4 linked regions of the Sus scrofa genome follow. Each later gene encodes a partner of the first gene's protein in a complex. Links are inferred from orthologs where the notes say so. Each region holds a gene or a part of one and is shown in the gene's direction. Other genes may lie near its edges. The genes, in order: NME5, DNAJB13, DYDC2 and DYDC1.

The links.
Region 2: the proteins of NME5 (region 1) and DNAJB13 are in contact, whole or in part, in a cryo-EM structure (PDB 8WZB), measured with the Mus musculus proteins. The link is inferred for Sus scrofa from reciprocal best matches to the Homo sapiens genes NME5 and DNAJB13. Residues at the interface, in NP_542368.2 of Mus musculus: Glu52, His53, Asn56, Met193, Lys199, Pro200, Lys201, Leu202, Cys203, His204, Phe205; in NP_705755.2 of Mus musculus: Thr156, Lys157, Lys158, Thr181, Ile182, Asp183, Arg185, Trp188, Arg189, Gly191, Thr192, Arg193, Ile194, Thr195, Phe196, Glu197, Pro281.
Region 3: the proteins of NME5 (region 1) and DYDC2 are in contact, whole or in part, in a cryo-EM structure (PDB 8X2U), measured with the Mus musculus proteins. The link is inferred for Sus scrofa from reciprocal best matches to the Homo sapiens genes NME5 and DYDC2. Residues at the interface, in NP_542368.2 of Mus musculus: Arg140, Ala145, Val146, Ile147, Ile151, Pro152, Ala156, Ala157, Tyr160, Ile161, Tyr164, Val165, Thr168, Leu169, Leu173, Leu176, Cys177, Lys180, Pro181, Asp183, Pro184, Tyr185, Leu186, Leu188, Ala189, Asp190, Leu192, Met193, Asn196, Pro197; in NP_001347537.1 of Mus musculus: Asp2, Tyr5, Leu6, Cys9, Phe10, Gly13, Leu14, Leu18, Val21, Ala22, Arg23, Val24, Arg25, Pro26, Asp28, Pro29, Ile30, Glu31, Leu33, Ala34, His35, Leu37, Tyr38, Tyr40, Arg41.
Region 4: NME5 (region 1) and DYDC1 share a complex: the UniProt entries of both Homo sapiens proteins name them as parts of the axonemal radial spoke complex. The link is inferred for Sus scrofa from reciprocal best matches to the Homo sapiens genes NME5 and DYDC1.

The regions. Positions count from the first base shown.
Region 1 is NC_010444.4:140,143,125-140,150,799, reverse strand, and holds part of NME5 (nucleoside diphosphate kinase homolog 5), read left to right. Parts: intron 1-3,416; coding exon 3,417-3,535; intron 3,536-7,675. UniProt on the Homo sapiens protein: Functions as part of axonemal radial spoke complexes that play an important part in the motility of sperm and cilia. Does not seem to have nucleoside diphosphate kinase (NDPK) activity.
Region 2 is NC_010451.4:8,349,551-8,357,180, forward strand, and holds part of DNAJB13 (dnaJ homolog subfamily B member 13), read left to right. Parts: intron 1-1,248; coding exon 1,249-1,406; intron 1,407-2,282; coding exon 2,283-2,396; intron 2,397-3,601; coding exon 3,602-3,715; intron 3,716-4,860; coding exon of another isoform or gene 4,861-4,937; intron 4,938-5,539; coding exon 5,540-5,836; 3' UTR 5,837-7,630. UniProt on the Homo sapiens protein: Functions as part of axonemal radial spoke complexes that play an important part in the motility of sperm and cilia.
Region 3 is NC_010456.5:82,195,437-82,203,558, forward strand, and holds the start of DYDC2 (DPY30 domain-containing protein 2), read left to right. Parts: upstream 1-1,757; 5' UTR 1,758-1,878; intron 1,879-6,907; 5' UTR 6,908-6,978; intron 6,979-7,101; 5' UTR 7,102-7,138; coding exon 7,139-7,306; intron 7,307-7,652; coding exon 7,653-7,775; intron 7,776-8,122.
Region 4 is NC_010456.5:82,186,682-82,194,356, reverse strand, and holds part of DYDC1 (DPY30 domain-containing protein 1), read left to right. Parts: exon of another isoform or gene 1-25; intron 26-607; 5' UTR 608-630; coding exon 631-777; intron 778-1,516; coding exon 1,517-1,618; intron 1,619-7,675. UniProt on the Homo sapiens protein: Functions as part of axonemal radial spoke complexes that play an important part in the motility of sperm and cilia. Plays a crucial role during acrosome biogenesis.

The DNA.
Region 1 (7,675 bases):
TCCAGCAATTCCACTCTTGGGCATATATCCAGACAAAACTTTCATTGAAAAAGTACATGCACCCCTATGGTCATTGCAGCACTATTCACAATAGCCAAGACATGGAAACAAACCAAGTGTCCAACAACAGATGAATGGATTAAAAAGATGTGGTACATATACACAATGAAATACTACTCAGCCATTAAAAAGAACAAAATAATGCCATTTGCAGCAACATGAATGGAACTAGAGACTCTCATACTAAGTGAAGTTAAGTCAGAAAGAGAAAGAAAAATACCATACGATATCACTTATATCTGGAATCTAATATATGGCACAAATGAACCTATCTATAGAAAAGAAACTTATGGAACTGGAGAACAGACTTATGGTTGCCAGGGGGTGGAGGGGATAGTGCAATGGGTTGGGAGTTTGCTTTGGAGTGGAAAAGCAATGAGACCCTGCAATACACCACAGGCAACTAGATCTAATCACTTGTGATGGAACATGATGGAGGATAATGTGAAAAAAAGGAATGTATATAAATGGATAAATGGGTCACTTTGCTGTACAGCAGAAATTGACAGAACATTATAAATCAACTATAACAAAAAATTTTTAAGGTAACTGGATTTAAAAAAAAAAAGAAGGTATCTTGAGAGACTATAAGATAGCCCTGACTGAGGAAGTGACATTGTAGCTAAGAACCAAGAATTAAGTCGTGGTTAACCTGAGAAAGGGAAGAGCATTCTAGCAGAAGGAAGCGCAAGTGCATAGTCGTAGCGTATCCTGTAAACTGAAAGATTTGAATGAGAAACTAAGTCTGGAGAGGTAAATAGACAGCACATAGTATAATCTCTGGGCAATTGTGTGGGATTTTGTCTTGACTAGAAGGGCAATGAGGAATTGATAAAGCATTTTAAGGATGGGAGTGACCTAATGGGATTTTCTTTTTTTCTTTTTTTTTTTTTTTTTTTTTTTTTTCTTTTTTTAGGGCTGCACCGGCAGCATATGGAGGTTCCCAGGCTAGGGGTCTAATCAGAGCTACAGCCACCAGCCTACGCCACAGCCACAGCAACGCCAGATCCAAGCCGTGTCTGTGACCTACACCACAGCTCAGAGCAACACTGGATCCTTAACCCACTGAAAGAGACCAGGGATTGAACCCACAACCTCATGGTTCCTAGTCAGATTCGTTTCCACTGCAGCACAACAGGAACTCCCGGATTTTCATTTTTAAAATGCTATAAAGGATCTGAGAAGATTGAACAATGACAAATACGGTTTTAATATGGAATGTACAGAGGAGTTCCCATTGTGGTGCGGCAGAAACAAATCTGTCTAGTATCCATGATGATGCAGGTTCGATTCCTGGCCTCGCTCGGTGGTTTAAGGATCCGGCGTTGCTGTGAGCTGTGGTGTAGGTCACAGACATGGCTCGGATCCCATGTTACTGTGGCTGTAACTGTGATTGGACCCTTAGCCTGGGAACTTCGATATGCTGTGAGTGTGGCCATAAAAAGCAAAAAAATTAAAAAAAAAAAAAATTGGGTTTTTTTTGGTCTTTTTTTTTGCCATTTCTTGGGCTGCTCCTGCGGCATATGGAGGTTCCCGGGCTAGGGGTCTAATCAGAGCTGTAGCTGCTGGCCTACGCCAAGGCCACAGCAACACGGGATCCGAGTCACATCTGCAACCTACACCACAGCTCACGGCAATGCTGGATCCTTAACCCACTGAGCGAGGGCAGGGACCGAACCCGCAACCTCATGGTTCCTAGTCGGATTCGTTAACCACTGAGCCATGATGGGAACTCCCTCCAAAAAAATAAAAATTTTTAAAAAAACATGGAACTTACAGAGCAGAAGAGACAAATGACAGAAATGTTTATATAATCAAAATAAAATTATTACAGTGATTAGTGTAATGAAAAGTACTATAATGAGACTAATAGGAAATGAACCTCTTACCTAAGACCTGTAAGACTTCTGCCAACTTTTCCTGGCATCCTGGCAGATGATTCCCACTGGTAGTCTTTGTCTCACTGAGACTGATCCTATACACATACACATGCAGTTATATAGAAACCTATCCTCCTGCCCTCCTTTCCCTTGGGCCAGTTTTTCCAATGAGGATTTAAATCTGAACATATGAGATTAGTAGCCTTACTTTCTCATCTTTATCAAAAGTAGCATACTGCTGGACATCAACCTTGAAAGACCTATAAAGATTTATACAATTCTTTCTAGTAGAAATATGCATTTTTTTTGTACTCCAAGTCTTATTCACCTACATGGTATTCAAACAATACTAAAAAGACTAAAGTTTCCTAAAACTTACATAGTTTATTTTAAAACCTGAAAAATAAGAGCAGGATTTTTTTTTTTTTTTTTTTTTTTTTTTTGTCTTTTCGCCTTTTCTAGGGCTGCTCCCTCGGCATATGGAGGTTCCCAGGCTAGGGGTTTAATCAGACTGTAGCCACCAGCCTACGCCAGGGCCACAGCAATGAGGGATCCGAGCCGCATCTGCAACCTACACCACAGCTCACTGCAACGCCAGATCCTTAACCCATTGAGCAAGGCCAGGGATCAAACCTGCAACCTCATGGTTCCTAGTCAGATTTGTTAACCACTGCGCCACGAGGGGAACTCCAAGAGCAGGAATATTAATGCATACTATATAATTGAAATATGTTTTATGTGTGTATTCAGTAGTCTAACTATAGACTATAAGAGCAAGAACCACCTATTATTCACTGTTGAGCCTGTACCATTTTGAAAAGTGCCTACCAAATTTGTTGATGGGTTTTTGTAAGGAATTAATCTCCGAGATTTTAACATAATTCATATTTTTATAACATTTCTGTTGTAATGTTTACTGTAAAAAAAAAAACCATGGAAATGCAGAAATGGATATTGTTGAAAACATAATCAAAATCCTATGTAGGAGCACCATTAGCATTTTGATGCATTTTGCCAATCTTACGAGTGTGTTTTTTATGGTTTTTGTTTTGTTTTGTTTTTGCCTTTTTCTAGGGCCACTTCCCACAGCATATGGAGATTCCCAGGCTAGGGGTCCAATTGGAGCTGCAGCCTCCGGCCTATGCCACAGCCACAGCAACGAGGGATCCAAACCACATCTCAACCCACACCACAGCTCACAGCAACGCCAGATCCTCAACCCACTGAGCAAGGCCAGGGATCGAACCTGCAACCTCATGGTTCCTAGTCGGATTTGTTAACCACTGCGCCACAGCGGGAACTCCTGTTTGTATGTTTTTGAACAAGCTATTAAACTGTGTCTAGTTCTATTTCCTTAAGAAAGAAAAACTAAGTATTTCTCATGCTACTAAAATTTCTTTAAAGGTGTCCTTTTTAATGACTGCATAATATGCCATCATTTATGTTGGCTTAATGGGAATGCATTTGTATTTGCAGTGATCACTGAGCCCATTCCAGTTGGACAAGCTGCAAAGGACTATTTAAATTTGTACGTAATACCAACTCTGCTTGAAGGACTTACAGAGCTTTGTAAGCAAAAACCAGCAGATCCTTTAGTAAGAAATCTTTTTATTCATACTGAAGAATATTGTCTATAATTTTCATAATTAAAGTGTTGTATTCTTGGAAACATATTGAGAGTCACTTAAACTATTTTATGTACATTTTAGATACTTCCTTAAGTATAATTTTTTATTACAGTTGAGCCTCGAGTAAAAGTCAGGGCTAGGGGCACTGACCCTCTGCACAGTCAAAAATCTGACATGTAATTTACAGTAGGTCCTTGCAACATCTGTTCTCCTGTATGTGCAATTCTTCATCCTGGGTTCAGCCATTTGTAGATTGTGTAGTACTGCAGTATTTACTATTGAAAAACATCCGCATGTAAGTAGACCCCTGCAGTTCAAACCTATCTTGCTCAAGGATTAACTGTACTTATTTTCTTGATTTTTTTTTTTTAATTTTTAAACTATAGTTGATTTACAATGTTCTGTCAGTTTCTGCTGTACAGCAAAGTAACCCAGTTATACCTATGTATGCATTCTCTTTATTTTTTTTTTGGCTTTTTGTCTTTTTAGGCCTGCACCCTCAGCATATGGAGGTTCCCATGCTAGGGGTCTCATCGGAGCTATAGCTGCTGGCCTCCGCCACAGCCACAGCAATGCCAGATCGGAGCCGCATCTTAACCTACATCACAGCTCACGGCAATGCCGAATCCTTAACCCACTGGGCAAGGCCAGGGACTGAACCTGCTACCTCACGGTTCCTAGTTGAATTCGTTTCTGCTGCTCCACGATGGGAACTCCTGCATTCTCTTTCTCACATTATCCTCCATCAAGTTCCATCACAAGTGATTAGATATATTTCCCTGTGCTATACAGCAGGATCTCATTGCTTATCCACTTTAAATGCAGTAGTTTGCATCTACTAACCCCAAACTCCCAGTCCGTCCCACTCCCTTCTTGCTGTTTTAACTCTTAAAAAACATTCTTCCTGGAGTTCCTGCTGTGGTGCAATGGGATTGGTAGAGTCTTGGGAGCACTGGAAGGTATGTTCAGTCCCCACAGTCCCCAGCCTGGCATACTGGGTTAAGCATCTGGCATTGCCACAGCTGTGCCTTAGGTCGCAGCTATGGCTTGGATCTGATCCTTAGCCCAGGAACTCCATATGCCATGGGGTGACCAAAAAAGAAACAAAACAAAACATTCTTCCTAAGTGCATTTTCAATCACTGCATCCTGTAATTGCTGAACATTGTTTTTGTGTATAATTTATATAATCAAATGATAAAATTCCATATATACTTGAATCATGTTTAATATTTTTTAAACTAGAAAACACATTCACATCCCTAGATGCCTCAATGGTGCTCATTCAGGTGGAAGAATCGTTGTGTATGGGGACCTAGAATGATTGTCCAAGGCCAAATGTCAGCCTGGATCCCTCTTGACATATGCTTTCACCTATTTGAAGAGCCTCATATGTAGTCAGGGAAGGTTATTTTAGTACCAGCCCTACCAAAACAGTGTCTCTAGCCTTTGTTAGCATTGTGGAAGGGAATCCCCTTTGAAGACAAAAGATTTAATCTTTCCCACTAACATTATCACTTTTACCAAAAATAAAAATATTGACAGATTTCTTTAATAACACTCTCTCATTGTGAAAATAATATATTTTTATTTAGTGAAAAACCTGAAACTACTGAAAAATGTAAAGAAGAAAAAGAAATAGCCCTCATTCCATTTAAGTCATCTTGCCTGGATTCAATTCTGACTCCAGACACCTAACTTTTCTCTAAGTCTCTTTATTCTTATCAGTAAGATGTAGATATATTTATGAGTATATACCTACCTAGCAGAGACATTGTGATTAAAAGTATAAATGCATGTGAAATTCTTAGTCAAAGTGCCTGTGCATTAAGTCCTTATACATTATCTGCTGCTGTTACTGTTTTTTGTTTTGTTTTTTAACGGCCACATCCACTGTGTATGAAGTTCCAAGGCCAGAGATTGAATCTGAGCCATAGCTTCGACCTGTGCTGCACCCTGAGGCAACACGAGATCCTTTAACCCACTACTCTGGGACAAGGATTGAACCCTGACTCTGCAGCAGCCCGAACTGCTGCAGTCAGGTTCTCAACCCACTGTGCCACAGAGGGAACTCCTGGTTTGTTTGGTTTTTTAAAGCCTGTGTCTCCAATGAAGCTAATCCAGTCTTGTGTTTTTTTTTTTTTTTCTTTCTTCAGGTTGTATTTTTTATATGACTGTATATAAACACATCCCATAAATACTGCTACACACACATACACTTTTTTTTTTTTTTTTGGTCTGTGCCCATGGCATGCCCAAGTTCCCAGGCCAAGGTAGGGATTAAACCCACACTACAGCAGTGACTTGAGCCATAGCTGTGACAATGCCAGATCCTTAACATGCTAGGCCATGAGGGAAAGTTAATATTGCTGTGTTTAAGTATATATTTTATAAAGATTATTTTAATAATTACATGATATTTCTTTTGTTACCTTTACCATACTTTTGCTGCTTGCAGTTATAAATACTGTAACAATAAATATCTTTGATATGAAATTTTACGCACATTACAATTATTTTATTTGGAAAGAGATCACAAGTCAAATTATATTTCAAAACATGAAATTAAAATTATTTTGACCCTTAAAGGATTGACTTTATTTTTTAACTGTTTAATTTTTTGAATAAACAGTGTTTGAATATGGTATAAAATCTAAAATTTCTAAAATAATATATAGTGAAAAGTAACTCTCTTTTTCATTCCTGTTCCTCAGCCACCCAGTTATACTCTTTGGAGTCAATTACTGTTATCAGTCTCTAGTATAACCTTGCAGGGAAAATCTATACATAAATAAGCATATATATTTGTATGAACTTAAAAACACATACAGGAGTTTCCTGGTGGTTCAGTGGGTTAAGGATACAGCATTATCACTGCTGTGACTTGGGTTACTACTATGGCACGGGTTGGAACCCTGGCCCAGGAATGATCCCCGCCTGGCCTGGGAACTTCTGCATGCCATGGGCAGGGCCAAAAGGAAAAAAAACAGACAAATACAAATGCTAGTTATTATGCACATTATTTGACACTTTTTTGCCTTATTTACTTAATATATATTATAAATTATTAAATAGCATAACAAACAAAATTGCCCCATTTTAAAAGAACAGCTTATGGCATTCTGTATTATGAATCTTCTACAATTTATTAATTAGTCACATATAGATGGTCATTTAGGTTGTTTCCACTCTTTTGTTACCACAGATTATTACCCTATCTTCATTCATTTGGCAGTATGCAATATATCTGTAGAATAAATTACTCCAAATGGAAATACTGAGTCAAAAGAATGTTACTTCTTTTGGCCCCACCCATCACACATGGGTCAGAGGTCAAATTCGTGCCACAGCAGCAACCCAAACCTCTGCAGTGACAATACTGGATCTTTAACCTGCTGTGCCACATAAGAACTCCCCAAAAGAATGTTATTTTGATATTTTTGATATGTGCATTTTTAATTTGGATAAATATTGCCAAATTACTTTTTGTAGTGGTTAAACCATTTTGTATTCCAATCAAAAATTATTATATTATTGACTATATTCCCCTTGCTATGCATTTCGTCTTCATGACTCATTTGTTTTGTAACTGAAAATTTGCTACTTTTTTTTTTTTAGGGCTGCACCTGCAGCATGTGGAGGTTCCCAGGCTAGGGGTCTAATTGGAGCTACAGCCGCTGGCCTATGCCACAGCCACAGCAACATCAGATTAAAGCCACGTCTGCAACCTACACCACAGCTCACAGCAACACTGAATCCTTAACCCAATGAGCGAGATTAGGGATGGAATCTGCAATTTATGGTTCCTAGTTGGATTCTTTTCTGATGCTGCACCACCACGGGAACTTCAAAATTTGTTACTTCTTAATATCCCTCACCTCTTTCCCTCATCTCCTACCCCCTCCTCTCTGGCATCCTCCTGTTTGTTCTTTGTGACTCTGTTTCTGTTTTGTTGTATTTGTTTACTCTGTACTGTTTTGTTGTATTTGTTTATTTGTTTATTTTTAGATTCCACATATAAGTAAAATCATATGCTATTTTCTTTACCTTATTTTACTTAGCATAACACCTTCTATGTTCATCCATGTTATTGCAAATGACAAAATTT
Region 2 (7,630 bases), on another chromosome or scaffold:
GGGCTCCAAGCTGTGTCTGCCACCAACACCAGATCCTTGACCCACTGAGCGAGGCCAGGGATCAAACCTTCAGCCTCATGGTTCCTAGTCAGATTTGTTTCCACTGAGCCGCGATGGGAACTCCGCAAAGGACCATCTTATCTGAGAATTCAGACTTCTTTTATACTAAAAGGAGAGGGAGTGGGTGTTCTCCTGGGTCTCAGCAGGTTAAGGATCCGGTGTTGTCACTGCAGCTGCTCAGGTTGCTGCTATGGCAGTGGTGGGTTCTATCCCTGGCCTGGGAACTTCCACATGCTGCGGGCATGGCCAAAAATTAAAATTTTTTTTTTGCTTTTTTTGCTTTTTTAGGGCTGCGCCTGTGGCATATGGAAGTTTCCAGGCTAGGGGTCAAATTGGAGCTGTAACTGCTGGCCTACGCCGCAGCCATAGCAATGCAGAATCCGAGCCAAGTCTGTGACCTATACCACAGCTCATGGCAATGCTGGATCCTTAACCCACTAAGTGAGGCCAGGGATCACACCCACATCTTCATGGATACTAGTCAGATTTGTTTCTGCTGTGCCACAACGGGAACTCCCAATTTTTTTTTTTTTTTTTTTTTTTTTTGTCTTTTCTAGGGCCATACCCATGGCATATTGAGGTTCCCAGGCTAGGGGTCCCATCAGAACTATAGCCGCTGTTCTACACCACAGCCACAGCCATGCCAGATATGAGCTGCTTCTGCGACCACAGCCCACAGCAACGCCGGATCCTTAAGCCACTGAGCAAGGCCAGGGATCAAACCCGCAACCTCATGGTTCCTAGTCAGATTCCTAGTCAGATTCGTTAACAATGGGAACTCGTAAAATTTTTTAAAAATTGAAGGAGAGGGAGTCAAACATTTCCTGGTTCCAGTCTGCCTCCAGAGGGATGTGGTAATTTCTTCTTGCCTGCAACCATTCCCAGGTGGGCCTGGTGGGGATGCTTCCTGTGAGCTAAACCAAGGTATTTTAGCTGATGCAGAATACCTGGGAGGCAGGGTTCCCAGAGATGGGCCATTATGTATAATTTACGCTTATAGGCAACATCCCTTTAGTGCTTAACTTGTAATTATGAGGACAGCTCCTCGGACAAACGGGCTGGAGCCTGTGAGGCGGGAACGGGAGGCTGGGTATTACACTCGGGGACTGAAACGGTGCGGGATTGTCCGTGAACATGAGTTTCTGGACACAGTTTCTCTTACTCCGTGCGTCTCCCCACCTTCTGCAGAGTTTTTTGATGCAGAAGGAAATGAGGTGGATCTTAACTTTGGGGGGCTCCGGGGCCGCGGGGTCAAGAAACAGGACCCCCCCATCGAGCGAGACCTCTACTTGTCTCTGGAGGACTTGTTCTTCGGCTGCACCAAGAAAATTAAGATCTCCCGAAGGGTGAGTACCGCGAGCCTCCTCCTAACCGCTCTGACCCGAACCGGAGACCTCGGGTATGGCCTCTCTCGGGATCATGGCATCTTAGATTTGGGGACCTAGGATGGTGGAATTCTAAAATCTGACCTTTGGAAGGGACAGTCGGGGGTATTAGCTGGGGTTCTTTCTGAGTTCAGGAGTCCCCCTGCATGCCCCCAACTTCTCAGTTCAGCCCCATCCCTGAGGAAACTGGGAGTCTCCTGTGATTTCTGCCTTCTGGGCGTTACCAGCCCATACCCTGTGGGTTCCTGGGTGTGTGCCTCCTGAGTAAGAAGGTGCCCTGTGGGCATGGGAGGGGGAGGCTGGGGGACAGTCCCTAAGGGGACTTGGAGAAGACCCTCAATGCCTCAGGGTCCAGCCCTGTGCTAGCCCCGTGCCATGGTCCACATGAGCACGGCCCCCTCCAACCTTTGCCCGGCAAAGGAGATGCCAGTTGTAGCCATGCCTTGCACAGATGGCCCCCATGTGGGCCTGTGATTGGGGGGTGGGTGACAGGTGACATACAGAGGAGTGCTGTGGGTGAGGCTCTGTGGTCTTTCTCCCTTGGGAATTAAGAGCCCTGCTGGAGGCTCGGGCAGAAGCCGCGGGGGTGGGAGAGGAGGTGGGTGTGTGTTCCCTGTGTATCTGTCAGTGGCCACAGCCGTGAGTTTCTAGGACTGGAGTGGGTCCTTGGTCAACTCACGGTGACACTTGGCACCTCGGACCCGAGCCCCATGTCATGCCCTGGCCCTCCTGGCCTAAGTTCCTGGTTTCAGTGGAACGGGCGTGGGGTGGCTCTGGCAGCTTCTCCCCATTGCTAGAGGCCACCTGGCAAACCTCCGTCCCGTCGTCTCGCCGCAGGTGCTGAACGAGGACGGGTTCTCCTCTACCATCAAGGACAAGATCCTCACCATTGACGTGAAGCCTGGGTGGAGGCAGGGCACCCGAATCACCTTTGAGAAGGAAGGGGACCAGGTGAGGGGAGGGCTGCTCCCTGGGGCCAGTCCCCCGGGTCCGCGTGGTGGGAGGACCGAGGCGGGAGGAGGCAGTGCGTGTTCTTGGTCCGGCAGGGAGGCCGGTCTGCAGAGTGGGCGAGCCGACCCCTCATGTCCCTCCCGAGGGACTGAGCCTCACAGGACATCCCCCAGGACCGAGTGGGCAACCGAGGCCCAGAGAAGGCAGGGACCTGCCCAGGGCACGGGCACCAGAGCAGGAAGGAGAAGCGAGTCCTAACACCAGTGTTCCCCCTGATTTTCTTTAGCGCTTCTCTGAGTCAGGCCCACCTCTAGGAGCTACGCAGAAACCGTTTGTTCACAAGGTTTTTTCTTTGGGCCCCCACGGCCTATGGAGCTCCCGGGCCAGGGATCAGGTCCCAGCTGCAGCTGTGGCCTACGCCGCCCCTGCAACAATGCTGGATCCGTTAATCCACAGTACCAGGCTGGGATGGAACTTGCATCCCGGTGCTGCAGAGATGCTGCTGATCCCATTGCACCACAGCGGGAACTCCAATGATAATTTTAAATTAAATGCTTATTTAGATGAAAATACAGAGTGATTGTCCAAGGCATGCTGAGTCCTCAAGTTGAGAAGAGGCAGTGATGCTATCCTTATTGCCAAGAGAGATGAATTCCTTTGCCATACTTCTTGCTCCCTTTTTTGCCCAGTAACACCTGCTTCCAAAAAACCCACTTCAAGATCCAGCTGCCAGGCTCTGGCTCTGGGCAGCCTTCCCTGTCCCCCCACCTTGGGACAGCGCCTCTCTGATCGGTCTTGAGCCTGCTGAGGATTCGCTACGTGTCCGTTTCCCCACCAGACTGGAAGCTCTTGGGGGTGGGGGCCAGTCGGCTCTCAACCCCCAGGGCCCAGGAGAGCCCTGCGGGGCTCTGGGGCTCAGTGCAGCCTGGCGGGACAGACCGGCAGGCAGTTCTGCCCCGAGCCCAGCGTTCCTCTCATGGTCTGAGGACGCCTCTGTCCCCGCACCCCGGCTGCAGGGGACGGGGAGCCGGATTGATCGGCGTAGGCTTTTCAGAGGAGGGACTGTGAGACCAAACTGGAAAGACCCTCCAGAAAACATGGTCTCATCTTCTCATGGTTCAGATGAAGACATGCAGACAGTAGAGGCAGGCCCTCGGCCAAGGTCGCACTGTTAACCCCTGTCTCGCCTTGGCCTCCTCACCCAGGGTCCCAACATCATCCCCGCCGACATCATCTTCATCGTCAAGGAGAAACTACACCCTCGCTTCCGCAGGGAGAATGACGACCTGTTTTTCGTGAACGCCATCCCCTTGGGCAAGGTGAGTGGGCGGAGCTGGGGGGGCCAGAGGCGGGCCGTCTGTTCAAGCCCGGGAGGCCCCCGGGGAAGTGGGCCTGCGCTCCCCTGGTACCTGGTGCCGGCCTTCAGACCATGGTAAGGGCCACACCAAGTCTTGGCGGCTGTGTCACTCCTGAGTGTCCCTGGCCCCCACGCCCTCACAACCCGGGCACGAAACGGCACCGCCTGCGGTTAGGCACTGAGTCCTCTCGCTTCCTCCTCCAGATGGCCCTCCCTCCGGGCCAGTTCTGTTCCCCCCACCATCGGGGCTCTGCGTGGCTTCCCGCCTTCCTTCTCACGTCCTCCAGGCACGTCCCCAGGGTCTTTCCACAAACTCATCTTTTAATCTGACCTGGCCACACTCTTGTCTAAACACCTTGGCGTGGCCTTCAAGGCCCTCCGCCTTCTGGCCCCTGCTGAGCTCAGCCCCTGCTCTCCAGCCACTGCCACTCAGGCCCCCTCAGCCTGGTGCGCTTTTCACACCTCCGTTCCGCTGTCTCCGCCGGGCCTCTGCCTGAGCACTGTCGCCCCTGCTTGTCTAACTGGCAGCTTATCCTCACCCTTTATCAACTGTGGCCACCACTGTGTGTGGCCCTCCTGCCCGACCCTGGAAGGTTTGGGAGGCGCCCCCCCAACCCCGACCCCTTTCCTTCCCTGTATCATAAAATGTATCCACATGAGTCTTACTAGCAGATCGAACTAAGGGCAGGCAGTTGCCCGGCTCACTTACTTGTTGGTATTTGAACATCCTTTTGTCTCCTTGTGGCCCCGCTCAGGGCCTGGCACTGAATAGTCTCATAAAGAATGGACACAGGGGAGTTCCCGTCATGGTGCAGTGGAAACCAATCCGACTAGGAACCATGAGGTTGGCGGGTTCCATCCCTCGCCTCGCTCAGCGGGTTGAGGATCTGGCATTGCCGTGAGCTGTGGTGTAGGTCCAGACATGGCTCGGATCCAGCGTTGCTGTGGCTGCGGTGTAGACTGGCAGCTGTAGCTCCGATTCCACCCCGGCCTGGGAACCTCCATAGGCCGCAGGTGCGGCCTTAAAAACAAACAAAACAAAAAGCAAAACAAAAGATGGACACAGGGACCTTCCTCACTCCCACCTCTGGCCCCCATGTCCTCTAGGCTCTGACCTGCTGCACCGTGGAGGTCAAGACCCTAGATGACCGTCTGCTCAACATCCCCATCAATGACATAGTCCAGTGAGTCCGTCTGCGTGGGCCCCATCAGGCAGGAGGGCTGCCTGGCCCTGAGAGGGTGTGTCAGACGGGCCAGCCTAATATAGTTGTTCAAGTTGCACACAGCACAAGGGGGTGAGAGAGGCTGAAGTCCAGCGGCGACTCTGGCCAAGCTGTGGGCTACAGTTACCTGGCCAATGGAGTGCCTTCTTCTGTCCAGAGGCCCCCAGGGGCGAGCAGTCCTTCCGCCTTCATCCTCAAGAACGTCCAGAGTTCTGAGTTGCTTCCACTAAGCCCTTTCCCAAGCAAGGCGCTGTGCGTGGGACGCGTGCTCAGCAGCCCCACGCTCCCCTCCCCAGCCCAGGGCCTGCTCACTTTCCTTCCCTCCTTGTCCTGTATCCCATTGGAAATGAGATTCCTGGAGTCCCCCATCAGAGACTCAGTGCAAATGGGTTTTCAGGGAGCAAGTTGTCTGGAACAAGCCAGTCACCCCTCCCCTCCCCCGAGTTCTGGAAGCCGGGGCCTGCCCCCCAGGCCTGAGGTTACGCGGGCAGGGGTGGATGGGATCTGTCCCAGGGCAGCCCTGGGGCGTCCTCTGAGCCCCTCCTCTCATCCGCCCGTCTCAGCCCCAAGTACTTCAAGAAGGTGCCGGGGGAAGGGATGCCGTTGCCAGAGGAGCCCGCCAGGAAGGGGGACCTCTTCATCTTCTTCGACATCCAGTTCCCCACCCGCCTCACACCCCAGAAGAAGCAGATGCTGCGCCAGGCGCTGCTGACGTAACTCTGGTGGGCTGGGGCTGGAGCGGGGGGACGAGGCGGCGGCTGGGCCTGACCGCGCCCCTGCGCCCCCAGCCCCAGGGTGTCCCACTGCACGGGCCTGAGGTGAGGATGGAATGGCATGGAACCTTTGAACTGACACAATAAAGTTCTCTTTCCTGTCCTCCAGCTCTACCCAGGAGAGCGTGTGCTGGACGGAGAGGGGCCTCACACAGCCCTGACTGTGGGGCAGAGGGGGGCCGGGGCCCACGAAGCTGAAGACCTGGGCCCCTGCCCTGGCTGTGGGCACCTGGCCAGGCCCCCGAGGGCTCAGAGCCCCTGTGCTCCCATCCCGATAGTGGGGCCATGCTGCATGGCCTCTGCGTGTCACCAGCTCTGCTTCTCCTGACACACGACGTCAGGCTCTGGTGTGACGTAGTCACGTTGTACTCAGGAACACAGAAGGACAAAGAGAACGGGGTACTTTTCCCAGGCCACATGGGACTCAGTGGCAAAGCTGTCAGCAGAGCCTTGAAGGCCACGTCCCACCACCTCACGCGCTGCGCTGCGAGGCAGCGCCCAGGACTCAAGCCTGGGAACGGCTTCCGTCCCTGCCGTGCGGCCTCCGCTGCCTTGGCTGTGCGCTAGGTCCTGCGCTGCCTCCAGACAGGGTCCTGGGAGACTGGGCTCTGCCCTCAGCCCTGCCCTGACTCCTCAGAAGGTACCTGTCTTGTTAGTAAGGTGGCACCTATAACCCTCCCCGAGCTTCCTGCCGATGAGAGTGCTTGGCGAGCTCTCTGCCTCGTCACCGGCGTGGCCCGCGGGGCGCCAGACTCCGGGCTGGGCAGGCGGCCTGCAGCCCCTCTGCGCCAGGAGGGCCCCCCACCCCGGAGCCTGGGTCTGGGCTGCGAGACCAAGCTTATGACATCGGGGGGCCACTTTTGAGGAGTGACTTCAGAGGTGCCAGAAGAGGGCCCCACAGGATCCACAGTGCTTGGATTCTACCACTCAAAGCGTCGTCATCTTGGCTTAAGGGGCTTTTCTCAAATGAGGGCTCAGTATCAGCCCTTGAGCAGACCTGCAATGTGGGGCTGGGGACAGTGTGAGCTCCCGGAGTTCCCGTCGTGGCTCGGCGGAAATGAATCTGCCTGCATCCACGAGGACACAGGTTCCATCCCTGGCCTTGCTCAGTGAGTTAAGGATCCAGCATTGCCGTGAGCTGTGGTGTAGGTCACAAATGTGGCTTGGATCCCGAGTTGCTGTGGCTGTGGTGTAGGCTGGCAGCTGTAGCTCCGATTAACCCCCAGCCTGGGAACCTCCATGTGCCGCCAGTGCGGCCCTAAAAAGCAAAAGCAAAGCATGTGAGCTTTGGAGTCTGAGATACTTCTGGGTTCCACCTGTCAGCTGAGCGCCCCTCGCTTCCTCTCTCTGAGCCTGTTTACAACCCCTATCTTGCAGGTCCCGTGGAAACCAGATGAGTGAGGCAGATTCTGCCCTGAGGCAGGACCTGGGTGGAGAGGTGGTAGTAGGTGCCCTGTTCTGAGAGCAGGTTGGGTGAGGCCTGCCCTGTGGGATTCTGGCACCCCAGCTCTCCTCCAGGCCAGGAGGGAGGCAGCTTGTAACCAAGTCCTCATAGGGACTCTCAAGGAAGCCTGGTCTTGGGCCTGAGGGGAGCCCTTAATGAGACTGTTAGCACCTCGGTGCTACCCTGTATGGCAGGTGTGTGATATGCGTTAAGGCCTCCTGGCTCCTGCAGAGGAGCTGGCTCCATCTAGGCCTCCTGGCTCCTACCTGGTTTCCCAGTTCATCGTCTCAGGATCTCGATGAAGTCGGGTGGCCTCACGTCCACGCCAGGGACTGAAACACAAGGCTAGTGAGGGAACCAGCTGCCAGACACACCAAGGGCAGCCCGTTGCCACTCGGTTTCCTCTGGTGCAAACAGTGAAGGGCCTGCCTGCAGAA
Region 3 (8,122 bases), on another chromosome or scaffold:
TGGGTTCAATCCCTGGCCTTACTCAGTGGGCTAAGGATCCGGTGTTGCCATGAGCTTGGTGTAGGTTGCAGACTCGACTCGGATCCCGCATTGCTGCGGCATAGGCCAGCAGCAAAAGCTACAATTCAACCCCTAGCCTGGGAACCTCCATATGCCATGGGAGCAGCCCTAGAGAGAGAGAGAGAGGGAGAAAGAGAACTTATTACATGTCAGGCATGAGCAATTATAGAAGACAGAATGCCAGTGTGTCTTGACCTGTTCTGGAATAAATGTACCTAACATTCTGCACAAAACCTCAGAAACAATGACCTTCTGAGTTTCATCCATATACTCCAATAGTGCTCTGTCTCATAATGTGGTGGCAGAGTACAAAATGGCATAATCCCATGGAGTAGAATTTGGAAATGTGTAGAAAATTACATATGACTTTACATTTTGACTCATCAGTCTCACTTCTGGGATCTTATCTTACAAAAATATGAATATATCCACCGGTTAGTCTGCACCATTACTAAGAATAGCCAAGTTTCGACCTCCATCCAAATGTTCCTCAATAAAGGACTGATGAGATACAGCAACACAATGGATTTTTGCGCAGAAAAAAAAGAGAAAGAGGAAGATCCCCCAAATTAGGAGTGATCCCTAGGACAAAGTGTGAAGTGAAAAAAAGCAAGATGCATAAATTGCAGTTTATATGCCGCCTTTATATTAGCAACAACAGTGGAGAAAGGAACGCTAATACATATATACAGTCATAAAAACAAATTAAAAACTGGCACAAACGAACCTAATTCCCTATCAAGCTAGTATTGATGTCTTATTACAGCTGAGTATGGAACACAGTATCTTCACTGCACTTCTTCAAAGACAAAAATAACTACATTGACAGCTTAATATCATTTGGAATGGAATAACAATTAAAAAGGGAGCCGATTCCTGCCGCTGCTCCTGAAAGATAACACATGGGAATGGGCCCGTGGTTCCTAAGGAGAAACCTCCAGTAAAGGGTTAGTCTCACATCTAGGCAGCCTGCATCGCATTATCAGCGGAACCCAGGTGGAACTCGTTACCTCGTTTGGCTTATTTCTTGTTCCTGAATTAGCGACATACCCATCTGAAAAGCCTGTTATAAGTAATGCTATTTTTTATACACACCAACAGCCATCCTGGCTCAAGAGAAGAAAGCATCTTCCCACAGAAAGAGCTGCCTCAAGCCTGCATAAGCTGTCACAAGAAACAGAAAGAGGTTCTTCGCTCCTGCTTGGGAGAAAGGTGGCCAGTGGTAGGGTTGCTTTTTTTGCAAACAAAAATACAGGATGTCCAGTTAAATTTCAGATAAATAAGGAATGATTTTGCATTATCCTATATTGTGCTAAAAAGCTATTCCTTATTTCTCTGAAATCAAATTTAAATGCGTACCCCGAATTTTATCTGGCAACCCTGGATTCCGAGCGCTTCGGTTGCTTTTCTATCCCAGGTCCCCGGCAGGGTGCCCGCCTTCCGTATCCCTCCAAAAGGCATAGCGCCGCTCACCACCGAGGAGGAGGAGGAGGCCGGCGCTGAACTAACCTTCCCGAAGCTCGGGGAGCATGGGCGTCTACTGCCACCGCAGCGCTCACAAGGTCCAACTGCAAAAACTGCCTTGGTTCGCAGGATTCAGCCCAGCACCTGAAGCAGTACTTCCACAACTGCGCCTGCGTCCTCTAAGCCGGCGCGGGACGCAGGCGCCTACCTACCCTCTAGTAGCGTCCTGTCGCTAGGCAACGAGCGCGAGCCCCAGGAGCAGGAGACTGCCTCGTGCTGAGAGGAAGGGGCGCGCCGCAGAGAGCGCTGGGCGAGGAGCGGAGAATTTGCAGCAGAGAGGAAGCGTGTCGGGCGGTGAGCGGCAGTAGGGCGGGGAGGAGGCCGCAGAGAGGAGAGGAGAGGCCATAGGAGAGGAGCAGAGAGGGGCGGGGTAGGATGCGCTATTGAGAGGAGGGGGCGCGCTAGGTGTGCGAGATTACCGATGGAGGGAAGGGAGCACCAGGGTAGGTGAGCAGAGACGTACAACCCAGAGGCTGTGAGAAGAGGACAGCCAAAAGGGGGAATCGGGCGGAGCTGGCAGGCTTGCGCACACAGGGAGAGAGAAAAGGGAGAGGGCTGGCCTGCGGGAGAGGAGCCTCGGGGCTAACGGCTTTAGAGCAGAGGAAGTTATAGCTACCTATAGCCTGGTATTTTCCCCGCTTAGCACCTTTGCACTTGCTGGTGACCTCTGTTTGGTTCCTGTCCACTGAAAAAAAATTGCACATCTGAGAGTTGTGAGTTGTTTTATTTGGGGACTAAACTGAGGACTTTAGCCCTGGAGATGGCCGCTGTGACAGCTCTAAGGAACTGCTCCTGCATGGAAGAAGTAGAGGGGTGGTCAGCATATGTGTGATTTTGGAGAAGGGGTACCTGCAGTCAAACACATATCTAGGTGAAAGGTTATTCTAGTCACCAGGCACAGATGACTTAATGATTTCAGTGCTTTCCTAAGTATGGGAAGATGCAAGAAACTGGGCTTATAAAATTTTTTCCTGAAAATTTCTAACTATCTGAAGGCCTGTTCTATCATTTTCTCCAGAGAACAGATTGCTTCAGTCCTGATATCCATCCTGAACTCCTTTTAGGTTGTGTTAATGACTCAGTTAACAACTGTAGTGGCTAAGCAATCCTTGTAGAATCAGCTGGCTAGCAATGTTCTTTAGTTGGCATTCCTCTCACTGTGATGTGCTCCCCACCTCCAGAAAGCCTTCCATCCTCCACCAAGCCCAACCATTTGCAGTCTTCCTTGGTTTAGTCCTTTGCGCACAGGCTAGCATTTCTCATGTTCTAATTTATGTGGGGCAGTACTGGGCAGGAGGTGCCTCAGTAAATGTTGGTTGAGTCATAGATGTTAGCATGGCACTAACAGATGGGAGGAAGCGTGAGCTCTTGCCTGGGCCCACAAGCATCGAAGTCCTGACTGATTAAGTCAAGAAATATTTGCTGAGCACTTACTGTGAGCCCAACACTAGGAATACAGTGTGAACAAAGACAATCTCTATACATATCGCCCCACCTGAATGCAAGGCCATGAGCAAGGAGGATCAGTACAAGCAGACCTCAGAGGAGCTCTGGAAAACTCAGAAAAATAGCCCCCGTCTCACTGGTGAGCATGGCCAGAGTTGGTGGGGAGTGGGCTGTAAAACACACCCCTTTAGCCCCTCTCTCTCCTGGCCTCACACTGTGGCTCTATTTCTCTGGCTCTACTGTTTTCCCATCAAGTCAGGCCAATGTATTTTGTTGAGACCATTGTTGAAAATGTGCAGTTTAGAGCAGATGCTTTCTCCAGAAAGGGTTGCCTCAGTGTGGCAGCCACCAGAGGACCAGGCAGTGAAGAGGCTTCCTGGGAAAGCAGAGATGGTGATTCTGCCCTCTGGGAAGGCCAATCCTACTGTGATAAAGGCAAAGTAGATCTGTAGCTGTGCCTTACCTGGGGATTTTGTTAAAATACATACTCTCGGAGTTCCCGTCATGGCGCAGTGGTTAACGAATCCGACTAGGAACCATGAGGTTGTGGGTTCGATCCCTGGCCTTGCTCAGTGGGTTAAGGATCCGACATTGCCGTGAGCTGTGGTGTAGGTTGCAGATGCGGCTTGGATCCCACATTGCTCTGGCTCTGGCGTAGGCCAGCAGCTACAGCTCCAATTAGACCTCTAGCCTAGGAAGCTCCACATGCCACGGGAGTGGCCCAAGAAAAGGCAAAAAGAAAAAAACAAAAAACAAAACAAAACAAAAAAACAGACTCTCCATCCATAGGTCTGAGCTGGGACCTGAGAATCTGCATTTCAGCAATCCTCAGGTGATGCAATGATGCAATGCTGCTGATCCTAGACCACACTTGAGTAGAAGGGGTGTAGAAGATAGTTTATTTAAGTGCATTGGTTAGGTGGGCCACAGATTGGCAGAAAAAGCCACCACCCATCCCCACCCTCCACCACTACCCCTAACTTAATGACTTTAAACACACATTTATTATCTTAACAGTTTTTGAAGTCCAAAATCCAAAATGAGTTTTAGAAGTCTAAAACCAAAGTGTCAGCGGGGCTGGTTCCTTCTGGAGGCTTTAGAGGAGAATACATTTCCTTCCTTTTCCACCTTCTAGATGCTACCCTTCCATTGTCACATCTCCTTCTACTGGTGTGACCTTACTGTATCCCTCTTATAAAGACCCTTGTGAGAGTTCCCACTGTGGCACAGCAGGTTAAGGATCCAGTGTTGTTGCTGTGGCAGCAGCAGGTTCGATCCTGGCCCAGTGCAGCAGCTTAAGGATCCAACATTGCTGTAGCTGTGGCTCAGATTTGATCCCTAGCCTAGGAACTTTCATATGCTGTGGGTATGGCATAGATAAATAAATAAATACCCTTGTGATTACACTGTGCCTACCTGTATAATCCAGTATAATCCCCCCCCAACTCCTTAATCACATCTGCAAAGTCCCTTTGCCACATAAGGTAACACATTTCTCTTTTTCTGGCCACATCTGTAGCATGAGGAAGTTCCTGGGCCAGGGATCAAACTGAGGCCAGGGATAAACAATGCTGGACCCTTAACCTGCTGTGCCACAAGAGAACTCCAGAGTAACATATTTCATGGGTTCCAGGTATGAGGACATGACAACTTTGAGAACTATTATTCAGCCCTACCACATTGTGTATTTCGTAAGAACAATGACATTTTCTTACTCATATTTTAATTACCAAAACCAGGAAGTTTAACTCTGATTCAGTTCTATTATGTAATCTACAATCCACATTCAGATTTCCCAACAATGTGCTTTACAGAATTCCAATTTCCTGTCCAGACCCAACCTTGGATCATGTGCTGCAAATAGTCGTTATGACTGTTTAGCCTCCTTTGATCTAAAGGCTGTTTAGCCTCATCTTTTTTTTTTTTTTTTTTTTTTTGGCTTTTATGATCTTGATATTTTTAAGAGCACAGGCCACTTGCAGTCTGTCTCTCAATTTAGCTTTGCCTGATGTTTCCTCGGTCAGATTCTAGTCTTGCGTTTGCAGCCGGAATCCACAGAAATGTATTATGTCCCACTAAGAAGTGCATCACATCAGGAGATGCGTGATGTTATTTTGTCCCCTTTATTGGTGATATTTACTTTGATCACTTGGTTAAGGTTGTGTAGGCCAGGCTTCACACTGTTAAGTTTCTCTATTTCCTTTTGGAATTAATCCATAATTTGTGGGGAGAAACTCTGAGACTATATAAATATCCTATTCCTTGTCAAGTATTCACTGAATTTTAGCGCTCATTGATGACTGCTTCAGTTACACATGATGGTTACAAAATGATTTAACTCCATTGTTCTTTCCACAATTACTTATTGGCATTCTACTTTAAGAAAGAATTACCAGAGTTCCCGTCGTGGCGCAGTGGTTAATGAATCCAACTAGGAGCCATGAGGTTGCAGGTTTGATCCCTGGCCTTGCTCCGTGAGTTAAGGATCCGGCGTTTCCGTGAGCTGTGGTATAGGTCGCAGACGCAGCTCGGATCCCGTGTTGCTGTGGCTCTGGCATAGGCTGGTGGCTACAGGTCCGATTAGACCCCTAGCCTGGGAACCTCCATATGCCACAGGAGCGGCCCTAGAAAAGGAAAAAGACAAAAAAAAAAAAAAATTATTTTCCCAATACATTATTTTTTTTTCTACTCTACAGCATGGTGACCTGATTATACATACATGTATACATTCTTTTTTCTCACATGATCATGCTCCACTATAAGTGACTAGATACAGTTCCCAGTGGTACACAGCAGGATCTCATTGCTTATGCATTCCAGAAGCAATAGTCTGCATCTGTTAACCCTAAACTCCTGATACTAGTCAGATTTGTTTCTGCAGATTGGAATGTGTCTATTTTAACTCCGTTCTTTTGGAGTTAAAATATGTAAGCTTCAGGAAAATGGAGATGATTAGGAATAAGCTGAGTGCTTGGCCATTTCATCTCTCAAATCATCCATTATAACAGCTCATTTTTTTTATGGCCACACCCATGGGATATGGAAGTTCCCAGGACAAGGACTGAATCCAAGTCACAGCTGTAACCTATGCCACAGCTGTGACAATGCCAGATCCTTTAACCCACTGTGCCAGGCTGGAGATTGAACCCACACTTCCACAGCAACCCAAGCTACTGCAGTCAGATTCAACCTACTGTGCCACAGCAGGAACTCCTATAACAGCTAATTTTTATTAAACATTTTTATACACCAGGCTATGTATTTCACATGTACTTATTATCTCTTTTAATCCTCACAATTATGAGATACATAGTTTTGTTATTCTGTTCCACAGATCAGGAAACAGACTCAGAGAGACTGGGTAACTTGCTGAAGATTACACAGCTAATAAACAGCAGACCCAGGACTGGAACTTAGTCTATCTGATCCCAGAGTCTGCATTCCTACTCCTACACTCCATCTCCACTCCATACTTATGGTCTAACTCAGGCTTCATTCCCTCCAGTTCTCAACATCTGATTGAGTAAATCCAGGAGCTCAACTCAACCTCGTTTCTTGCTTAAGCCATAGGGAATGGAATATTGTGTTAAGTGCTGGCAGAGCCCCTGACCAGCAGTAGCTAAAGTGCTGGGCATTTTCCCTCACTCTCCTCCTCAGGGCTTCTCAGTGGTGGTTGTGAAATATATAAGCCTGTCTTATCTGTGTCATAGATGAGTGTAAATTCCGACCTCACAATAGTGCATCTTGGTGGGTGCTCATAGCCCCTCTCGGGACCTCCTCCTTGCTCAGTTATTTCCTCCCTAATCAAGAGTAGAAATGCGTGGGTAGGTAGAGGCCTTTGTCACTCTTCAACACCAATCTGCCAAACTCTTCTCAGGCCTGATGACCCCCAGGACCTACTTTCCAACTAGGATAGATGGAGAGATTTAGAAAAAAGTTCATTTGAAGGTAAGATCTATTGGCAGGTACCTATTATTTATTGGTTCTTTGGGGAAGGGTGGGATCCAGAAACCTCTCTTATTTATCCTGAAATGAATCTGCACTGATTGGAATGTGTCTATTTTTCTTAAGTCCAATTAGATTTGTAGAACAGTGTGACTCTGTTTTGATGTTTCCCGAGCCCACTGAGATGGAAACCGAATACCTGAAGAAGTGCTTTGGAAATTGCCTGGTCCAGGCGCTGGCAGAGGTAGCAAAGGTTCAGCCCAGTGACCCCATAGAGTACCTGGCTCACTGGCTTTATCATTATAGGAAAACGGCAAAAGCCAAAGAAAAGGTATGCGTACACTGAATCAGGTTGGGGTGGGCTTTTCAGCTTTCCCAGAGTAATCTGAAATGCAAGGCAGGAGTCTGGAGCTGACCTGGGGAGTTTCTTGGTTTAATTCCACTTATAAGGATAGCTTAGGTCCAGATATCCCTAAAGTCTAGGGAGTCTGGGGGCTGATGTGAGACTCCATCTCAGAGGAGTGGTGGAGCTGGTGGCCTGGAGATCCTGGAGATTGAAGCTAGTTAGTTCCAGGAGCAAACTCAGGAGGCCTGAAGGGCCTGGGGCCTATGGTCTGTCCCAGAAATGGTGCATGCTTCCCCGGCTCACCTGATTCCACTCTGTTCTATCACCACAGGGCAGGCAGGAGAAGGTCCAGCTGCAGGAAGAGTATGATACTAGCCTCAAAGAAGCCAAAATAACAGAAATGCTGAAGCGAGAAGAGCGTGAGATTCAACAGGAATGTGAAAAGTGTCCCCAGGTAGGGAGGAGGAACTTGGCACTGGGCACGCACACACCCTGTGGTGGGTACCAGGAAATCCCTAAGTCAGCTCAGCAAAGGGCACTGAGCCTCCTGTGATCCTACTCTTCCCTCCATATTCATATGCTTATATATAAATCAATCTTATTGACAGTCCATGTCAATAAAATCCCTATCAATGAACTAAGAAAATGCTTAAAGGCAATTCCATGTTTAGATTCCAGGGGCTACCTTAGACGTTACTGGTTTAAAAAAATCAGATTTTAAAATAATCTAGTGTGTCACTTGGAACATTCCATACAAGATCCTTTGAGCCCTTTTAAAAAATTACTCAATATTTTTCAGAA
Region 4 (7,675 bases), on another chromosome or scaffold:
TTGGAAGCAGAAAAGATTTCTGGAGGTGAGCTTGGAAAGAAAAGTGGAGCCAGAGCATGAAGAGCTTCATGTGCTAGTCTTTGAAGGTTTAATTTTTTCTTATTTTTTGGCCTTAAGGTATGTGGACTTTTTAAAACTTTAAGGTACTATTGTGATATTTTCTAGAAACATCTCTCAGGGGTTGGGAGGAGCATCTTAGTAAATCATTTAGGGTAACGACTCTGGAATCAAGAGTTGGGTGTGATCCCTGTGCATCATGTGCCACCTGGGCTGTTCACTTATTCTCTTTGTATCTGAATGCGAGGATTAAGTGAGCCATCACTTGCCATATAGCCATTTCATGGTCAATAATGACAGTATCCCTTTTCTGACTCTTGGAATCAAGGATCCTTCAGGATTTTGAAACTATTTTAGTTGTAGCAACTACTGTGGAACATTTTTGGAAAATGCTAGAAGTTCCCCAGAGCCAGCTTGCTTGCGCCATCCCTAATGGCAGGTTCCCATGACTGGTGACAGGATATGCTGCTTGGTTGGCCTTACTTGTCTCTACTTTGATTGTGCCTTCATCAAAAATCTCCTGCACTAATGCAAAATGTTTGTCCTTTAGAAGTTTTTACTTAGCAGTTATAAATGGAGACGGAGTATCTTCAAAAGAATCTTGGGACATGTCTAACTCAAGGGCTTGCAGAAGTGGCAAGGATGCGGCCAGTGGATCCAATAGAATATTTGGCATTGTGGATTTACAAGTATAAAGAAAATGTGACCAGGGAGCAACTGGTAAGTATGGATCTTTTTTCCTAAAATTAGAAGAGTAAAATAATTGGTCCAGCTTCTTCATTTTTTATTAAAGCTTGACATTATCATTTCTTTCTGTTATAAAAATGGTATGTTTATTACATGAACTTGGACTACCTGAAAAAGTGAAAGTAGAAAAATGAAAACAAAATACCTCTATTTAGGAGTTCCTGTCGTGGTGCATCGGAAATGAATCCGACTAGGAACCACGAGGTTGTGGGTTGGATCCCTTGCCTCACTCAGTGGGTTAAGGATCCAGTGTTGCCATGAGTGTGGCGTAGGTTGCAGACATGGCTCAAATCTGGTGTTGCTGTGGCTCTGGTGTAGGCCGGCAGCTATAGCTCAGATTAGACCCCTAGCCCGGGAACCTCCATATGCTGCAGGTGCTGCCCTAAAAAAAGACAAAAGACAAAAAAAAAACAAAAAACAAAAAACTTCTATTTAGATTTTTAAGTATTTTTAGATATTCTAGTCTTTTTTCTACGTGTTCATGTTAAGATTTTTTAAACGTAATTTGATCATATTCAATTCATAATTTTAATTTTGTGCTCTTTGTTCAAATAAAACACACATTTCCCAAAATTATTATGCAGTTTCCAAATGGACAGACTATAATTTGTTTAATCCTTTCCCTGCTGTTGGAGATTAACATGCTTTTAAGAATGTTTTCAAAAATTGTTTTACCTGATGTCACATGATGTTGTTTTTAAAACAATGCTAGAGACAAGAGGAAATGGCCCAGTTGGAGCATGAAAGACAAATAGCTCTGATGGAGCAGGAAATGATGGAGAGACTTAAAGCAGAAGAGCTCCTATTTCAGCAGGTGAGACAAAAGAGTTCAGTGGTGACTGGAATTGGTGGTGTCAGCCTCTGTGTGGTGCAACCCGAGTGCTGAAAAACTCATCTCTGGTTGCTTAGATGTGGCTTTCATGTATCTTCATCCTTATGTCTCTCTGTGTTTCTTTGCTGGAGAAGCAGAAGCAGTGGGGTAGGAAGAAAATCCAGAGAGTGAGCTGTCACAGAAGCCAACGGGACAATGTCTCATTGAGACCCGAGTAGTCAACCATGTCTATGGCTGGTCCAGTGAGATCAGAACCTGCCAAGTGCTCATTAAGTCCACGGGTGACCTTGGCGGGAGCAGTGTGTGGGGGCTGGGGTTAAGCAGGGGAGATAGAAATGGTGGCTGTAGATAATGTTTTCAAGATTCTCAGAGAAGGAATTCTGTTTGTTTGTTTGTTTTTTTTTTTTTTTTCCCCTTAAGGAACAGAGTGGGAGGGGGAGTGGTTGAAGTAAAGAAATAAAGTGGATTATTCTTAAAGTTAGCTTTACATGGAGATCAGAAAAAGTTGGGTCTGAAACATAGGTTAGGCAGGTGGAAGACCCTTCTTTGATTCAGGAAAAGAGGAGAAGATGTAGGTACATGTGATGTGTAGGTTTTATGGCACAATTTTTTTTTTTTCTTTTTATGGCCATACCTGTAGCATAGGGAAGTTCCCAGGCTAGGCGTCAAATCAGAGCTGCAGCTACTGGCCTACACCACAGCCACAGCAACACTGGATCCTTAACCCACTGAATGAGGTCAGGGATCAAACCCACATCCTCACAGACACTGTGTCAGGTTCTAAAGCTGCTGAGCCGCAATGGGAACTCTTTGTGGCACAAAAATTTTTTGTTTGTTGTTTTGTCTTTTGGGGCCACACCTGTGGCATAGGGAAGTTCCCAGGCTAAGGATCGAATCAGAGCTACAGCTGCTAGCTTATACCATAGCCACAGCAACACCAGATCCGAGCTGTGTCTGCAACCTACACCGGAGCTCACAGCAACACCAGATCCTTAACTCACTAAGCGAGGCCCGGGATCGAACCCATGTCCTCATGGATACTAGTTGGGTTCGTTACCACTGAGCCACAATGGGAACTCCCTACTTGTGGCCCAAAATTGAAAGCAGTTTCTTTTTTATGAAGTAGGGAGCATGATCATCTGCTCACAATGAGGTGGTGAGTAAGATAGGAAGTGTGGAGAGAGGGGTGAAGGGTTAAAACGGTGGCTTTGGAGAAGTCCAGTTGACCAGGGAAACTTCACATCCCTTGGTAGCACTGAATTCCCTGAGAATAAGCAGTCATAATGGGGCCTTTTGGCTTGGTTTTGTGATTATGTGGTTTTCTTCACTCAGGCTTAGATATGAATGAAGAGGTGGAACAGGCAGACCCTTTGACTGAAGTGAGTTTGGGTTAGCAGGATTGGGGTGCTAAAGATGTTGCTATGAGAATGGTTGAAGAGGTAGGTCATGGAGTGTAAACCAAATAGGGGAAATTTCTCAAATGGCTCTGGACTAATTTAATTTTTTTCTTTTTTTGTCTTTTTGCTATTTCTTTGGGCCGTTCCTGCGGCATATGGAGGTTCCCAGGCTAGGGGTCGAATCGGAGCTGTAGCCTCTAGCCTATGCAAGAGCGACATGGGATCCGAGCCGTATCTGCAACCTACACCACAGCTCACGGCAGTGCTGGATCCTTAACCCACTGAGCAAGGGCAGGGTCTGAACCCGCAACCTCATGGTTCCTAGTCAGATTTGTTAACCACTGCGCCACGACAGGAACTCCTGGACTAATTTAATTTATGGAGAGCTTCTAAACCAAGTTCAAGCCTCCCGTTTATTCCTATTGTACACTACCTAATTCTACAGTCTCAACTCCAGTTTGTATGTTATAGAAAGAGAAAGAAGCCTATTATTTGGCTGTGTGGGTAAAAAAGAAAATGTAAACATGGAAAATAGCTTCTTTGTCTTACTTCCCATCCTTGATACTGGAATAGGATAATTCAGACACCTTAGGTGGATTTGGCTGTCAAAGAAAGCCTTTGCTGCTGCTTTTTTAGTCACTGGGCTTATTTTTGTGGGGAAATTGCATAGCATTGAGTTGGATGTCAAACAACCACCCAGGTAGTCAAGTATCTGCTGCAGTCACCCCAGCTTTTTTTTTTTTTTTGTCTTTTTAGGGCTGCACCTGTGGCATATGGAGGTTCCCAGGCTAGGGGTCAAATCAGAGCTGCAGCTGTCAGCCTATACCACAGCCACAGCAACACTGGATCCTTAACCCACTGAGCAAGGCCAGGGATCAAACCCGCAACCTTGTTTCTGCTGCACCATGATAGGAACTCCATCATCCCAGCTTTAAGTGAGGATCTGCCCGGCCTCTTCCAGCTCCTGGACCTGATATTTGTTCCCTGTCTATCAGAAGAAGGAGACCCTCTCAGCAGTTCTCCTTCCCCAAGACAGATCACAGATGTGGAGATACTTAACTCTCTTTGACTCATCTTCTTTTTCACTTAGATAAAATTTGGTGATACCAGAAACCAAACACTTCTCTGGCTGTATCAATATGGAGCCATCCCCTGTGCATCAAACCTTAAGCCTTGTATTGAATATGGAAGATATAGTGATATCCTGCAGAAGATGTGATGGCCAGTTAGAGGAGTGGATTGGTGGGCAGAGATAGATGAGAGGAGGAGAAGGGACATGCAGAGAGATGGACCAACAGAGAAGAGCTTAAGAGAGAGAGAGAGGCTGAGATGAAGAGGAATAGAGAGGCCTCTCCATGTCCCCAGAGTTAAATGAGCTGGAGGGTCAGGACTCTGGTCACCCGCTTGTCTGTTTCAAGAGCAGTGGTAGTAAATACCGCTACTTGAAATTCATTGAAATTTTAGGCACTCTCCCACAAGCCTGGGTCCTTTGTGAATATGGAAATATTTTTATTGTTGTTTTCTATTTAAGAGCTTGTTTTGGAAGAAAAGCTTTTTTAATTTATTTGAATGTCTTTCTAAGATGGTTTTACTCATGTATGAAGAAAAGCAATTGGGTTTTGAACATTTCCCTTAAAATGTTAAGAAACTGGTGATGTTGATCAGTGTGGTTGGTATGTAACAACTGGACTTTGGGTTATTGTTGAGAGATTAGAGTTATTTCACTTTCTCTACCAATTTCTGAAAGTCGATTGAATGGTAGTGTTCCTACATTTCGGCTACCTAGTCCATCACTTTTATCTTAGTGGGAATGATACAGAAATATGAAGAAATTGCCTTTAACAGCCCTTTGTGAATAATGTTAGTCACTGTTTATTATGTTTTTATTTGCAAAAGTGTATTATTTTTAAAATGAATTTAAAATAGTTTTAAAATGCTCTTAATGGAGTGAGCTTGTATAAACTTGTTTATGGGGTGGCACTAGGTTAATGGTGAGAAATTGCTGAGGGGTTGGCAGACTCTTTCTGTTAGATATTTTACGGTTTGCAGGTCAAGAGGCAAAATTGAGGATGTTATGTAGATATTATGGGATATTATGTAGGTATATTATGTAGATATAGCAAGAGAGAAAACAATTTTCTACAAATGTTTTATTGATGAAATAAAAATTTTAAAAATAATAATCAAATGCAAATTTTTTTGTAATGTAGGCTTACTACTGAGAAGAATTACATCCCCTGCCCTTTTTTTGTTTGTTTTGTTTTGTTTTAATGGCCACACCTGTGGCATATGGAAGTTCTTGGGCCAGAGATTGAATCTGAGCCACAGCTGTGACCTGTGCTGCAGCTGCAGCAACACTGGATCCTTTAATCGACTGTGCCATGCCACAGGGAACTGAACCCATTCTTCTGCAGTGACCCAAGCGCCTGCATTCAGAATTTTTTTTTTTTTTTTTTTTGCTGCTGCTTCTTTTTAGGGCCACACCTGTGGCACATGGAAGTTCCTGGGTTAGGGGTTGAATCAGAGCTGCAGCTGCTGGCCTACGCAACAGTCACAGCAACGTCAGATCCGAGCCACGTTTGTGACCTACACTAAAGCTCATGGCAACGCCAGATCCTTAACCCACTGAGCAAGGCCAGAGATTAAAACACGCATCCTCATGGATACTATTTGGGTTCTTAACCTGCTGGGCCATGACTGGCACTCTTGCAGTCAGATTCTTAACCCACTGTTCCACAGTGGGAACATCTACATTCCCTTTTTAAAGATAGCTTTTTTTTTTTTTTTTTTTTGTCTTTTGTCTTTTTGAGGGCCACACCCACAGCATATGGAGGTTCCCAGGATAGGGGTCTAATCAGAGCTGTAGCTGCTGGCCTATGCCACATCCACAGCAACACTAGATCCTTAACTCACCGAGCAAGGCCAGGGATTGAACCTGCAACCTCATGGTTCCTAGTCGGATTCGTTTCCTCTGTGCCACAATAGGAACTCCTAAAGATAGCATTTTACTTAGTTGGAGTTAAAAAATAATGTTCTCTATTACCAAAATTGATTGACAGTGTTTATCTGGTTTTGTTTTTTGTTTTGTCTTTTGTCTTTTTAGGGCCGTACCTACAGCACATGGAGGTTCCTAGGCTGGGGGTTGAATCAGACCTGAGCTGTAACTGCTGGCCACAGGCACAGCAATGCCAGATCTGAGCCGTGTCTGCAACCTACACCACAGGTCATGGCAATGCCGGATGCTTAACCCACTGAGCAAGGCCAGGGATCAAACCTGCAACTTCATGGTTCCTAGTTGGATTAATTTCTGCTGTGCCACGATGGGAACTCCAACAATGTTTATCTGTTAATGCTGATCTGTAGTGAGATTTTATGTGTTTCATCTTTGAAAATATCTTTTTACACAAATAGGTTCTTGCCAAATATTGATATCTGCCCATGTGCACAAAATTTTGAGTGTATTCATCTCTCAGAAGGCACTTGTAGAATTCTGCTAGGTTTTTCTCTTGATATTTGTCCTTATCATATCATTATCTTGTGGATTCTTCCAGTTGAGGGTTGGTAAAATCTTCTCAGTCGCACAGTTAAATGGATTTTGAAATGTGGAAATTTCCTTTGCACTTATATCAAGACCTAAAAACACTCTAGAACTACAGTTTGAGCTTAGAAAATCTGCCACAGATTTGTGTGGGAATGGAAATCTAGTTTCTTGATAGCAGTAGAAGTGTATGAGGCAGCTTGACATTGTGATTCAAACAAATTAGTTGTTATTGAAATGACTTTCCTGCAGCATTAAGTTTTACATATAAATGCTGTTTTGCCTTATGCTTTTCAGTCAAATTGATTAAAAATCTTTAAGTCTGCAGCAAAAGCTAGTTTCCAAATCTATTTAATGTTTGATAATTGTGTTTGAAGATGGTTCTTAAAGTCAGTTTTAGCCTTAGCTCAAAAATTCGCAATAAAACATTACCACTGTTAGGCCATGGACCTGTTGGTTTGTAGGGCAAGTCAAGATATATTCAGCTTCTCTATCTGACAAAAAATTACGGAACCAATGATGTTTAAGATCATAAAGGTAAATGAAAGTCACTGTTGACACTGTTACAAACCAAATTTGGCTCTGCTCACTCAAGGTGTGTTGAAGGCAAATCTGTTGACACTGGGTTGTGGTGAAGAAAGGTGCAGTATTTATCGTAAGGTGCTAAGCAAGGGAATGGGAAACAAGGCTCAGATTCACTCCACATTGGTCGTTGAGTTAGGGGTTTTCTTAAAGGGGAAGAGCAGAGGGGCTAGAATTAATCATCTTGTGACATTTCTGTGACATGTCTTTTCCTTTTTTAATTGAGATATAGTTGATTTGTATATTGTGTTAGTTTCAGGTATACAACAAGGTAATTTGGTTGTATATATACACACACATTTATATTCTTTTTTTCAATTCTGTTCCATTATAGTTTATTACAAGATATTAAACATAGTTCCCTGTGCCATATAGTAGGACCTGGCTTATCTATTTTATGTATAGTACTGTGTATCTGTTAATCTCAAGGTCCTAATTTATTCCCTTCACCCCTTTCCTCTTTGGTAATCATAAATTTGTTTTCTGCATCTGTGAGTCTGTTTCTCTTTTGTAAATAAGTTC